Schizosaccharomyces pombe: one gene and its partner. The protein of the gene in region 2 interacts with the protein of the main gene of each other region in a biochemical or structural test. Each region holds a gene or a part of one and is shown on either strand. Other genes may lie near its edges. The genes, in order: rec8 and hhp1.

Evidence for each region.
Region 1: of the proteins of hhp1 (region 2) and rec8, one has a biochemical effect on the other in vitro, tested with the Schizosaccharomyces pombe proteins (one study listed by BioGRID).

The regions. Positions count from the first base shown.
Region 1 is NC_003423.3:2,566,893-2,571,493, reverse strand, and holds rec8 (meiotic cohesin complex kleisin subunit Rec8), read right to left. Parts: upstream 2,557-4,601; coding exon 2,501-2,556; intron 2,492-2,500; exon of another isoform or gene 2,458-2,491; coding exon 2,270-2,457; exon of another isoform or gene 2,218-2,269; coding exon 2,121-2,217; exon of another isoform or gene 2,069-2,120; coding exon 819-2,068; exon of another isoform or gene 779-818; coding exon 684-778; 3' UTR 501-683; downstream 1-500. Other genes in the region: origin recognition complex subunit Orc1, read right to left, coding at 1-332; atp7 (F0-ATPase subunit D), read right to left, coding at 3,266-3,793; oxidative stress transcription coactivator/ribosome recycling protein Oxs1, read right to left, coding at 4,329-4,418, 4,527-4,601. UniProt on the Schizosaccharomyces pombe protein: Involved primarily in the early steps of meiotic recombination. Required to ensure reductional chromosome segregation.
Region 2 is NC_003423.3:1,853,852-1,858,660, forward strand, and holds hhp1 (serine/threonine protein kinase (CK1 family) Hhp1), read right to left. Parts: upstream 3,060-4,809; 5' UTR 2,958-3,059; coding exon 2,067-2,957; intron 1,945-2,066; coding exon 1,738-1,944; 3' UTR 822-1,737; downstream 1-821. Other genes in the region: lvs1 (beige protein 1), read right to left, coding at 1-412; mug176 (BRCT domain protein), read right to left, coding at 3,912-4,809. UniProt on the Schizosaccharomyces pombe protein: Involved in DNA repair. Has a probable role in repairing alkylated DNA and may regulate the activity of protein(s) involved in double strand break repair caused by gamma rays.

The DNA of each region.
Region 1 (4,601 bases), 710 kb from region 2:
GCATAAGCTCGACTATACCAAATTGCTTCAACATATTTCTTTCCAGAATGCTTATCAATTGCTTTTTCGTACAATTTACAAATTACCCCCAGATAAAAGCTTGAGTCTCCATCATGTACAGTAATATCATCTCCAACGCGATATATTACATCGTTTTTCTTTAAAGATCTGTAATAAGAACGTCCAGCCTCTTTTTGAAAGGGCTCTTCAGTCCAAACACCGTAAACTTCCTCTTCGTCAATATCAGAACTGTCAGCGCTGTCATCAGATAGCAGACTTTTATCAATGCCGTTAATTAATAGTTGACTCCTCAATGACTTTCTTCTAGGCATATTAAGAGAAGTTCAACACTAGTTTATCAACATTGCAATGGTCAAAGTTATCCTGAGTTGTAGTGCTGGACTAACAAGACTCGTATACTATAGAGGCTACTGTCATGCTATGTACAACAGCCAACAAATAATATACCACAATTTTAAGATATAATAATTAGATAAATTTGGTAAGTAGTTAATTAATTTTAATTATTTATCCGCTAGCATTATCATTCATTAATCTAAGAAAAGTGTTATACTATACTATTTAAATGTTATTACATAGTCAATTATTTTGACAACTTCAACAAAGGGTTTAATTCCCAAATTCAACGTTTTAAAAATTTTAAGTTTAACATGTGAAAAGTTTCAAATGGCATCGGTGCTTTTTAGGTTTAAAGAGACACTAATTTCAGAGTATGGTTTATCCTGTTTAACTAAAAATGCAGACTTAGTTGCTAGTGCTATTGTTTTGTTAGTTCGTGGTTTGATTGTGATACTTACACAGTAAATGGCTAAATGCCTGGGCCACTACAGGTCGTTTTAAATCATTGGGTAATAAGCTTGAAAATGTTATGCGCCCATTATTTTCATAGATAGCCGTTTTTGCATACTCATAAAAGTTTGCGCATTCTTTTTCCATGCTCAACATTAAATGTGCATTTTCTTCTTGAGTATTTTTGTATAGTACGAAGTCATCAGAGAGTTGTAATGAAAGTTCTGAGTTCAGAGTTTCATGAAATTGACTTGATTCTAAGGCAGGAAGAAATTCTACCCTACTCGGCATCGATGGGCTATGCGGCAAGCGCTTCCTATATTTAGTGTCAAGCAAGGGGGTGGAATGCTCACTACCAGTTTGAGAATGGCTTTTAGAATTTATGGCACTGTTTGATCGAGATGAAGTATTCCAAGGTATGTTTAAACCTAATTCACCCTGAACATCCCGTCCAACTTCAACTTCAGAAGTATCAATGTTCCTCAATACATCGTCAATTTCAGAGGGAGTATTGTTTGATGGTTTGAGCTTTTCAATCCATGGTTTTAAAAGAGGATGGAAAGATTCCCAATCAAAGAATTTGTTCAATTCTTTCTTCTTTGCCGAAGAAGCTCCTCTACGACGAACATACTTTGTTGCTTCCAAAGCAATCATTCGTTCAACATAATTCTTTCTCCATTGGGACAAAGTTCGAGTAGACAGTTCTATGTTTTCATCTGGCTCCAGCAGTTTTTGGACCTTTCTTCTTTTTAAAGCTCGCGGTTCATTTTCATTATGCTCTGAATCCATAACAGATTGCAATGGAACGGGTAACGGTAAAACGTCCTCATCGATTTCGAACATGTGAATCCTTGATTCTTGTTCTTCACTATTGTATTCTCTTTGAACGGAACCAAGATTGCTATGTTGTGAAGCAGCTTGTAGCGACGGATCCGAATTTATAGTGCCCTTGGTCAATTCCTGGATATCCCCGTTTTCATCAAACTCAAAGTCAAGGGGCTCTTCTGTAGAGAAAGCTCTGGAGTCCTCGTAAACAAAGCTCGAAACATTGTTTCGTAAACTATAATTTTGGCTGGTATTGATCAAATAAGAAGTAGAATCTGGAAGAGTTTCAAGAACTGAAATATTGGGATTTTCCTTGGGTTGAGTGAAAGAACTCATGTCAACATGTAGATCCACAGAAGGTAGATTAAATGCATCGTAGAGACTAACTTCAGGGATAAATGCAGGATCTTCTGCGAGTAGTAACTGCTTTGGGCTAAAAGGTTAGCAATTTGAATATCTGTCATATTATCCAATAGTACTCGTACTTCGTTTGTTCATTCTGAATATCGATATTCTTAAACGGTTTTGAAGTGAAATGGTCCAATTCTTTTCGAACACGTAAATGAAGAGTTGAAACTTGGGCTAAGCATAATTAGTAAGAAAATTGCCAGCCTAAACTACTGTCATCACATACAATGGAAAAATGAGTATTGATGGGCCCATACACGCGTTACACCAATCATTAAATTACTACTTAATCGTAGTGCCAACGGTTCTGGAGAAAAGGCAACAAAATCGCAAGCTTCATCGATATCTACCGACATAATGTCTTTCTTGTGAAGCTTGCGTAATGAATGTTTTGAACCCAATGTAGCAGCGAGCCTATAATTATTAGCTTTATTATTATCTTGTAGTAAATCTATACCAAATTACTCCCATTCCTCCCTTTTCCTTTGTAAGAACATCTTGATTGTAAAACATGGTGAAAGACAGGAACGCGTTAGTTCACCAGATAGCTTATTAAACGCGTCAAAATTATATTTGAAGTTCAAGCATAGAAATACCGCATTGTTAAACCATATGAGCTAATCTCACATAAAATCGTTATTAACGAATACTTAACAGCTCGGCACATGTTATCCAACGTATACTGCAGTGAAGTCTCCATTGCTAATATATATTGTCTTATTAAAATCTAAGTAAGGATTGAATATTTAAATATCATTACTTTGATTGAGTCAAAACACAATGTAATGGAAGCTAATGATTAATAATTGAGCTAAGATATGTGATTTTAGTGCCCTTTCAATCTTGAGCTCTCCTACCAAGGTATCCATAGTTAATATTGTACAAGCAATTTCATTATTGTGCCACTAGATCGAATAGAGATTATACGAATATAACAAAACTTAACGTAAGTTGACATAGCTTATTAAAAGATCGTGGAAATTTTTAACGCACTATTATGCTGTGAACGATGTTTGTATAATAGGTTAAATAAAGTCATTCAAGTTGTACTAAGAAGTTTGAAACTCAATAAAAGAATTTTAATAATAATGGTTAAACATTTCAACATACTGCTTGAAACCATTCATAAATACCGAAATTTTATCTATCTTTCAACTGACATTTATTTGTATTGATAACACATATGATTGCTAGTTATAAAATGTTTCATTAATGGAGCAAACTACATAATACTCAAATCACCAAACTTTTCACGGTAGCCTGGGATGACCCATTTGCCCTTGGTAACCATTGTTTCAACAATCTTCTCAATTTCGGGAACTGCTTGTTTCATATCCTCAATGGTAATTTCTTCAGTAGGCCTAGCTTGTTCAATGTTCTTCAATGTAGCACTCAAATTCTGTAATTCAGCTTTGACAAGTTCGACATTCTTCTTAGCACCCTCGCTAGCTTTTGCTTCAAATGCATTGATCGCTTTGAGTTGCGAATTTAAATCAATCTTCACAGGTTTAAAAGATTTCATAGAAGACTCAATACGATTTACAATCTCCTTGTTGGCTAAAACACTACGATAGGTAGCAAAGTCGACTGTGGTAGCCTGCTCTCGCAATGTACCCAATTTGGCAACTGCCTGAGCATGACGAGAGCGAAAATTAGCAATAGCAGAAGCAGTTGCGGCATCAAGCTTCAGCTTGCTAGCTACACTAGCCCAATCAATCGCCTTTCCAGCAGCGCTAGCAACTTTCGACATTTGCGTAAATAAAGAAGAAAAAATTCAAAATTCAATAAAATAACAGTTATATTGTTAAACAATTTAACTGTCTTATAAATATTTCCTGCTTTTGGTTATGTGTTGAAGAGATGGGGGTAGTTGGGGAACGGATGATTTAGCATTGCCAGAGCCATATTGCCAGGTGGTTTGGCTTTCAGCAGTAGGCTTCCTTAATGGTTCAAAAAATATCATATAATTGGGTAAATGAAAGCAACAAGTACAAAATTACTACAAAAAAAAAAATTAAGCGGTTAGAATAGAACTTGTGCCCTACAATTAGTATACGCTCCACTCATTCTTGTGCTAATAGAAATTCAAAGTTAGCTGTAAATTTTGATTTACCGGTGTATCACCAAATCACTTTGTACTTCTCATGTTTAATTTAAGATTTCATTTTTGAATGTCGAGAAAAATTATTTAGTAATTGGTTTATTGATAATTTATAAATAATATAAAAGAATTACCATAGTAAAAAGGAAAAAGAAAAGTTCTAAACATATTGCCATAACTATAGTTACTCGCGTAAACGTGCTTCCAATTCTGCTTTACGAGCTTTACGAAGCTGTTCAACCTCATCTTGACTAGTGTTATAGCTCACATTCATCTGAAATTGTTAGTAAAAATGATATTTACAATGGTTTTCCTGTTTAGGGTTTATACATGATATGGTCATCATCAAAAAGAGTATGCATGTACCCTTATCGCTTCTTACCTTATTGAAAGGATTGTCCGGATGTTTCTGAAATTCTTTATACATTATGTCTTCATATTGGTTTAAACGGAGGCC
Region 2 (4,809 bases):
TGGAAGAAGTACCTATTGCATAAATGGAAATATTGGAATCATCCTGTATAGCACAGAATGAATAAAACATTCTTCGAATAGCGAGCTCAATCCATGCCTCAATATGTTTTCTGGATAGTAACCAAGAACGCAAGATAGTATAAGAAGTTGCAATTCCTAATATTTGCAAGCAGCATTCAAAAATATCAAGACTTAGTAACGATTGAAAGTTTAGCTTAGTGACAGCCTTCTTAATGGCTGCAAAGCCATTGTCAGTAATAAAGAGTTGTGGAAAAAAATTACTGGGAATATCATTTCGAATGAACCCCCTCAATTTTCGTAACTCTTCTAACAGAACTTTTTCTGAGGGACAACCCTCAAGCCTCGATAACAACTCAACGCTTTTAGAATAGGCATTCGCCTTTCTGTCCATAGCAGCTTACTTGAATAAAAGATAGAAGAAAGAACCTAACAAAAATATTCGTTCCTAGCCCCTGGTGCACAAGTTTCGTATTTATTTCGATAAACTCTGGTCAAGTGAGTGTATATTATGAATAGGTCATGTGAGTTGAAGCAGAGAGAAATGGTTTTAAAAAAGAAAACGATTAATATATATAATCGATGAAATTAATGAAAATTGATGCTTGCTTAAATTTATCGTTATTGAAACTGGCAATAATAGTTCGTAGTGGTTGGCGGTGAAGTATAGCGGTGATAATGATTTCTTGCCAAACGAAGTGAACTATGAAAACTTGCTGTAGAAGAGAACTACACCAAATAGATAGTAAGTAAAGACAATTTATTTCTATTTCATTTATGCTTGTTGATTTTGAAGTAGGTGTCATCATTCTAAATTCATCTTATTGATAATTCAAAAACTTACAAACAACACCTTTCTAGTTTTTTCAAGTATGTTTACAAACTAAAATGAAAAGCAAAATATTTATTATATTTAGCAAACAGAAGTGTGAACAACATCGAAAGACACTTCATGAAATGAACGCTTCAATAAAACAGTCAAGCACGAGATCATGCACCCAGAACACGAACTAAAACAAACCATTCATCCCTCGAGCATTAAGTCATTGAATTTAAACGCATCTTAAGCATCCTAAGGTTAAACGACGCTGATTAAATGAGTTCAGCTTGGAAAAGACGGTATCTATAAAGAAAAGCAGCAAATAGCTGATAATATATTATTAAAAGTATATGAATGCAATGCCTTCTAATTAGATTAAACCCCAAGGCTCATCACACATAAAAAAGTAACCAATTTGCTTATGGCGTCGTAAAAAAAAGGCTTTAAACCACGCATAATCTGTCACCAGGATTCGTGTTAAGCGAAGATAAAATTATGATCATTTCTGCAGAAAATTCTCTCACTTTTTTCTGTTCCTGGCTCGAAACATATATGATAATGTATGAATAGATTCACAGGTAGTAAAAACAAATACCAAATGTATTATTAGCAAATGTACTAATATTAAAAAATTTTTCACCAAAACTTGCCATAATGAGGATATGATCATGAGGTTAGCATAGAATTTAAGTCAACACAAGATCTTCAGCCAAATAAGCTATGAACCCTCAATAAACTATAAGCAAAGTAACTTTCGCCATCCCAAGGAAAAAGCCCTGCGCTATCAACAAAATTAAAGGACGTCTGGAGGATAAAAGGCAAGTATTGGAAGACTCCAGATGAGAAGAAAATATAAAAATAATGTGCCCATGCTATATAATAATAATATGAAAGGCTAATCAATTAGGTCTGTTGATATATTGAGCTCCGGTTGCAGATGGATCATTTATAACAGGAACGGTTGTATTAATGTCTCCGCCTTTTTCATCAAAGTTTTGTTTTTGATAATTTCTAAATGAAGACCTCTCTGGCGGCGGATTAATAGCTTGAGGAGTTGCAGACAGTTGTTGCTGTAATTGCTGCTGATGTTGTTGGTCTTGTTGAGTCTACAATTTAAATGTTAGTAAATGTGACTATGTAAACTTCATAAAATATCATATTACATTGGTTTTCAATAACTCGGAAACCCAGAAAATAAAAAAAGCACTATTACCAAGATATCTCATACCTTTCTCTTCAAGGTCCAATCAAACATATAGTCAAACTCATAAGATTGCCGACAAAAAAGATCTCGGAAAAGCTTGCGAAGGTAGGCGTAATCAGGTTTGTCATCGAAACGTAAAGATCTCGTGTAATTGAGATAAATTGAGAACTCCTGAGGGAATCCCCGACATAAGACCTCTGTAGGCGTAGAGATCTTCTTCTCCATAATCTTTTCATACTTTTGCTTTTTCGTGGTAGCCTTCAATCCCTGCCAAGGCAGGCTACCACGACAAAAGTAGACGAGCACATAACCTAAAGATTCGAGGTCATCACGGCGGGATTGTTCAATACCTAAATGAGTATTGATGCTAGCATAGCGTGCAGTACCTGTAAGATTCTTGTTCTCGCGATAAGGAATGTGCAGGTGAGTTTTGTGATCACGATACTTCTTAGCCAATCCGAAATCAATTATGTTAACTTGATTTCCTCTTTTACCTATTCCCATTAAAAAGTTATCAGGCTTAATATCACGATGAAGAAAAGATTTTGAATGAATGAATTCAATTCGAGAAATGAGCTGGTCCGCAAGGAGAAGAACTGTTTTCAAAGAAAACTTTCGATTGCAAAAATTAAACAAGTCTTCCAACGAAGGACCCAATAAATCCATCACCATAGCGTTGTAATCACATTCTACACCGAACCAACGAACAAACGGGATTCCGACCCCTCCTGACAAAATGCGATAAACTCTGTATTCATACTCCAATTGAGGGTGTTTAGCACGAGTTGATTCTAGCTTGATAGCGACCTCTTCACCAGAAACGACATTAGTCCCAAGATAAATGTCTCCGAAAGATCCACTGCCAATTTTACGACCAATGCGATACTTGTTCCCAATCCGGAGGTCCAAAGCCATAATAATATTATAACGCTTTTAAGGCTAAAGGCACTCGCTTTTTCTCTCCAATATACTATAGATTGAAATTGAATGATGTGGTTGAGGTAAAAGTAGGGGTTCGAAAAAGTAGAGCAAGTTAGGTAACGTAGAAGTAAAGAACTTAAAGTAAACATAACGAGAGTTAGCATTGCTTTATCAAAATAACGATAATAAATTATAATACAAAAAAAATTCGCTATGCGATTAAATTATAATAGATAGTGAATTTGCGAATATTGATAGTTTACGATGAATGTAAATAAAACATACCTACATACATTCGTACATCCAATATCTATTTTTAGAATGGGAGCGTGATGCTTTTCTTGGTTTCTATTTTATCAATTACCATTTACTGAAAAATGTAAAATGTAAGGTATGGTTTATTAACACTAAGAATAAAAGGCTAATAAAATGTGTCCTTTATAACAGACTCTTCCTTGTAATCTATATACAAAATCTAATAATATTTGAGCCCCAGTAAACGAATGATCTAAAAAGATAGAGAAAATTCGGGTTCTCAGACGAAAATAAAAGCTGTAAGATACACTGTCTTTCCAGTTGAAGCGAAAAAGACCTCCAACCGAATATTGGAGTGCGAAAAAATAAAATGAAAGAACATTTTAAAACAATAAGAAAACCTTTTTCGGAAATTTAATATTGTAGTTCTTTACATAAGAAAAGCGAAAAATGCAAGGCATTTTTCTGTTCTAAATAAGAGTTGACTAATTCTCCATTGAGATTATAAATAATTTGGGTCAGGATTGTGACGACTGAGCGAATAGAATAAAATAAAATAAAATAAACTGACAATGGGCAGGATAAAAGAAAGGGGAAAAACACGCAAAACACTGATCTAACAATATGTACAATGAGCAGTGCGGAATTAAACTTGTAAATGAAAGAGAGTAATGAAATAGAAAGACAAGGCACTTAGAAATCTATAAGACTAACCTTCTTTTTTAGTGGAGAGCCAATTAACGGTTTGTAAGCTAGATACTTCTTTTTGGCAGACTCTAAATGAGTCATCTCTAAATCCGTCGTAATTTTGAAAGACGAAAATAGATCAGCCGTTGGAGATAGCGATATTTGAGAAATGGTTTCTGGATTATTTTCTCGTTGAGCGTCATTGGACATAGATGACTCATTAGAATCACTGCAAGTAATGAGACCAAACTCATAATCATCGGACAAAGTTTGATCCAAGAATGAGTCGGCATTAAAACAATGAGAATCAGGAGACCCATTAACGAATGGTTCTAAATTTTCTGCTTGAGTATCGAAAAAGAAGGCATCAGAAGGGTCCTGAATCATTTGCGTGTCAGTGAAAGGATCAAGAGGATTCAGCAACTCCGAGTCATCAGTCTGTAAACATTTAGTTTGCAGTATATCTTGAGGATCAACTAAGTACATTTCCTCGTCGACTAAATACTTAGATGAGTAACAAGCCAAAACCCATTTAGGAGATACACAAACGATTGGGACTTGAGCAGAACTAATTTTCTTGAGAGTTTCTTGTGAGCAGTCGTAGAGTACTGCGTGAGAAACGGGATTTTCCTCGGTCATTTGTAAAGACGCATGAACAGTTGCGCCCAATAGACGCAATTGTTCAGTAACGATTTCCATTGAAAACATACCTTCTCCGATTTCAACGTAAGCATGGACAGAGCTCAAAGGGAATTTTTGTTCTGTTTCATTAATTTTTGAAATGGTAAGGCCTTGTAAAGATCGAGAAAGGTAAGCCATGGGAACCGTTGGGTTCCATAAATCATGAGGATTTTTCTCATTCATGTCGGTTTGAAACAATCCCTCGTTCGGGGAGTAGTCTTTT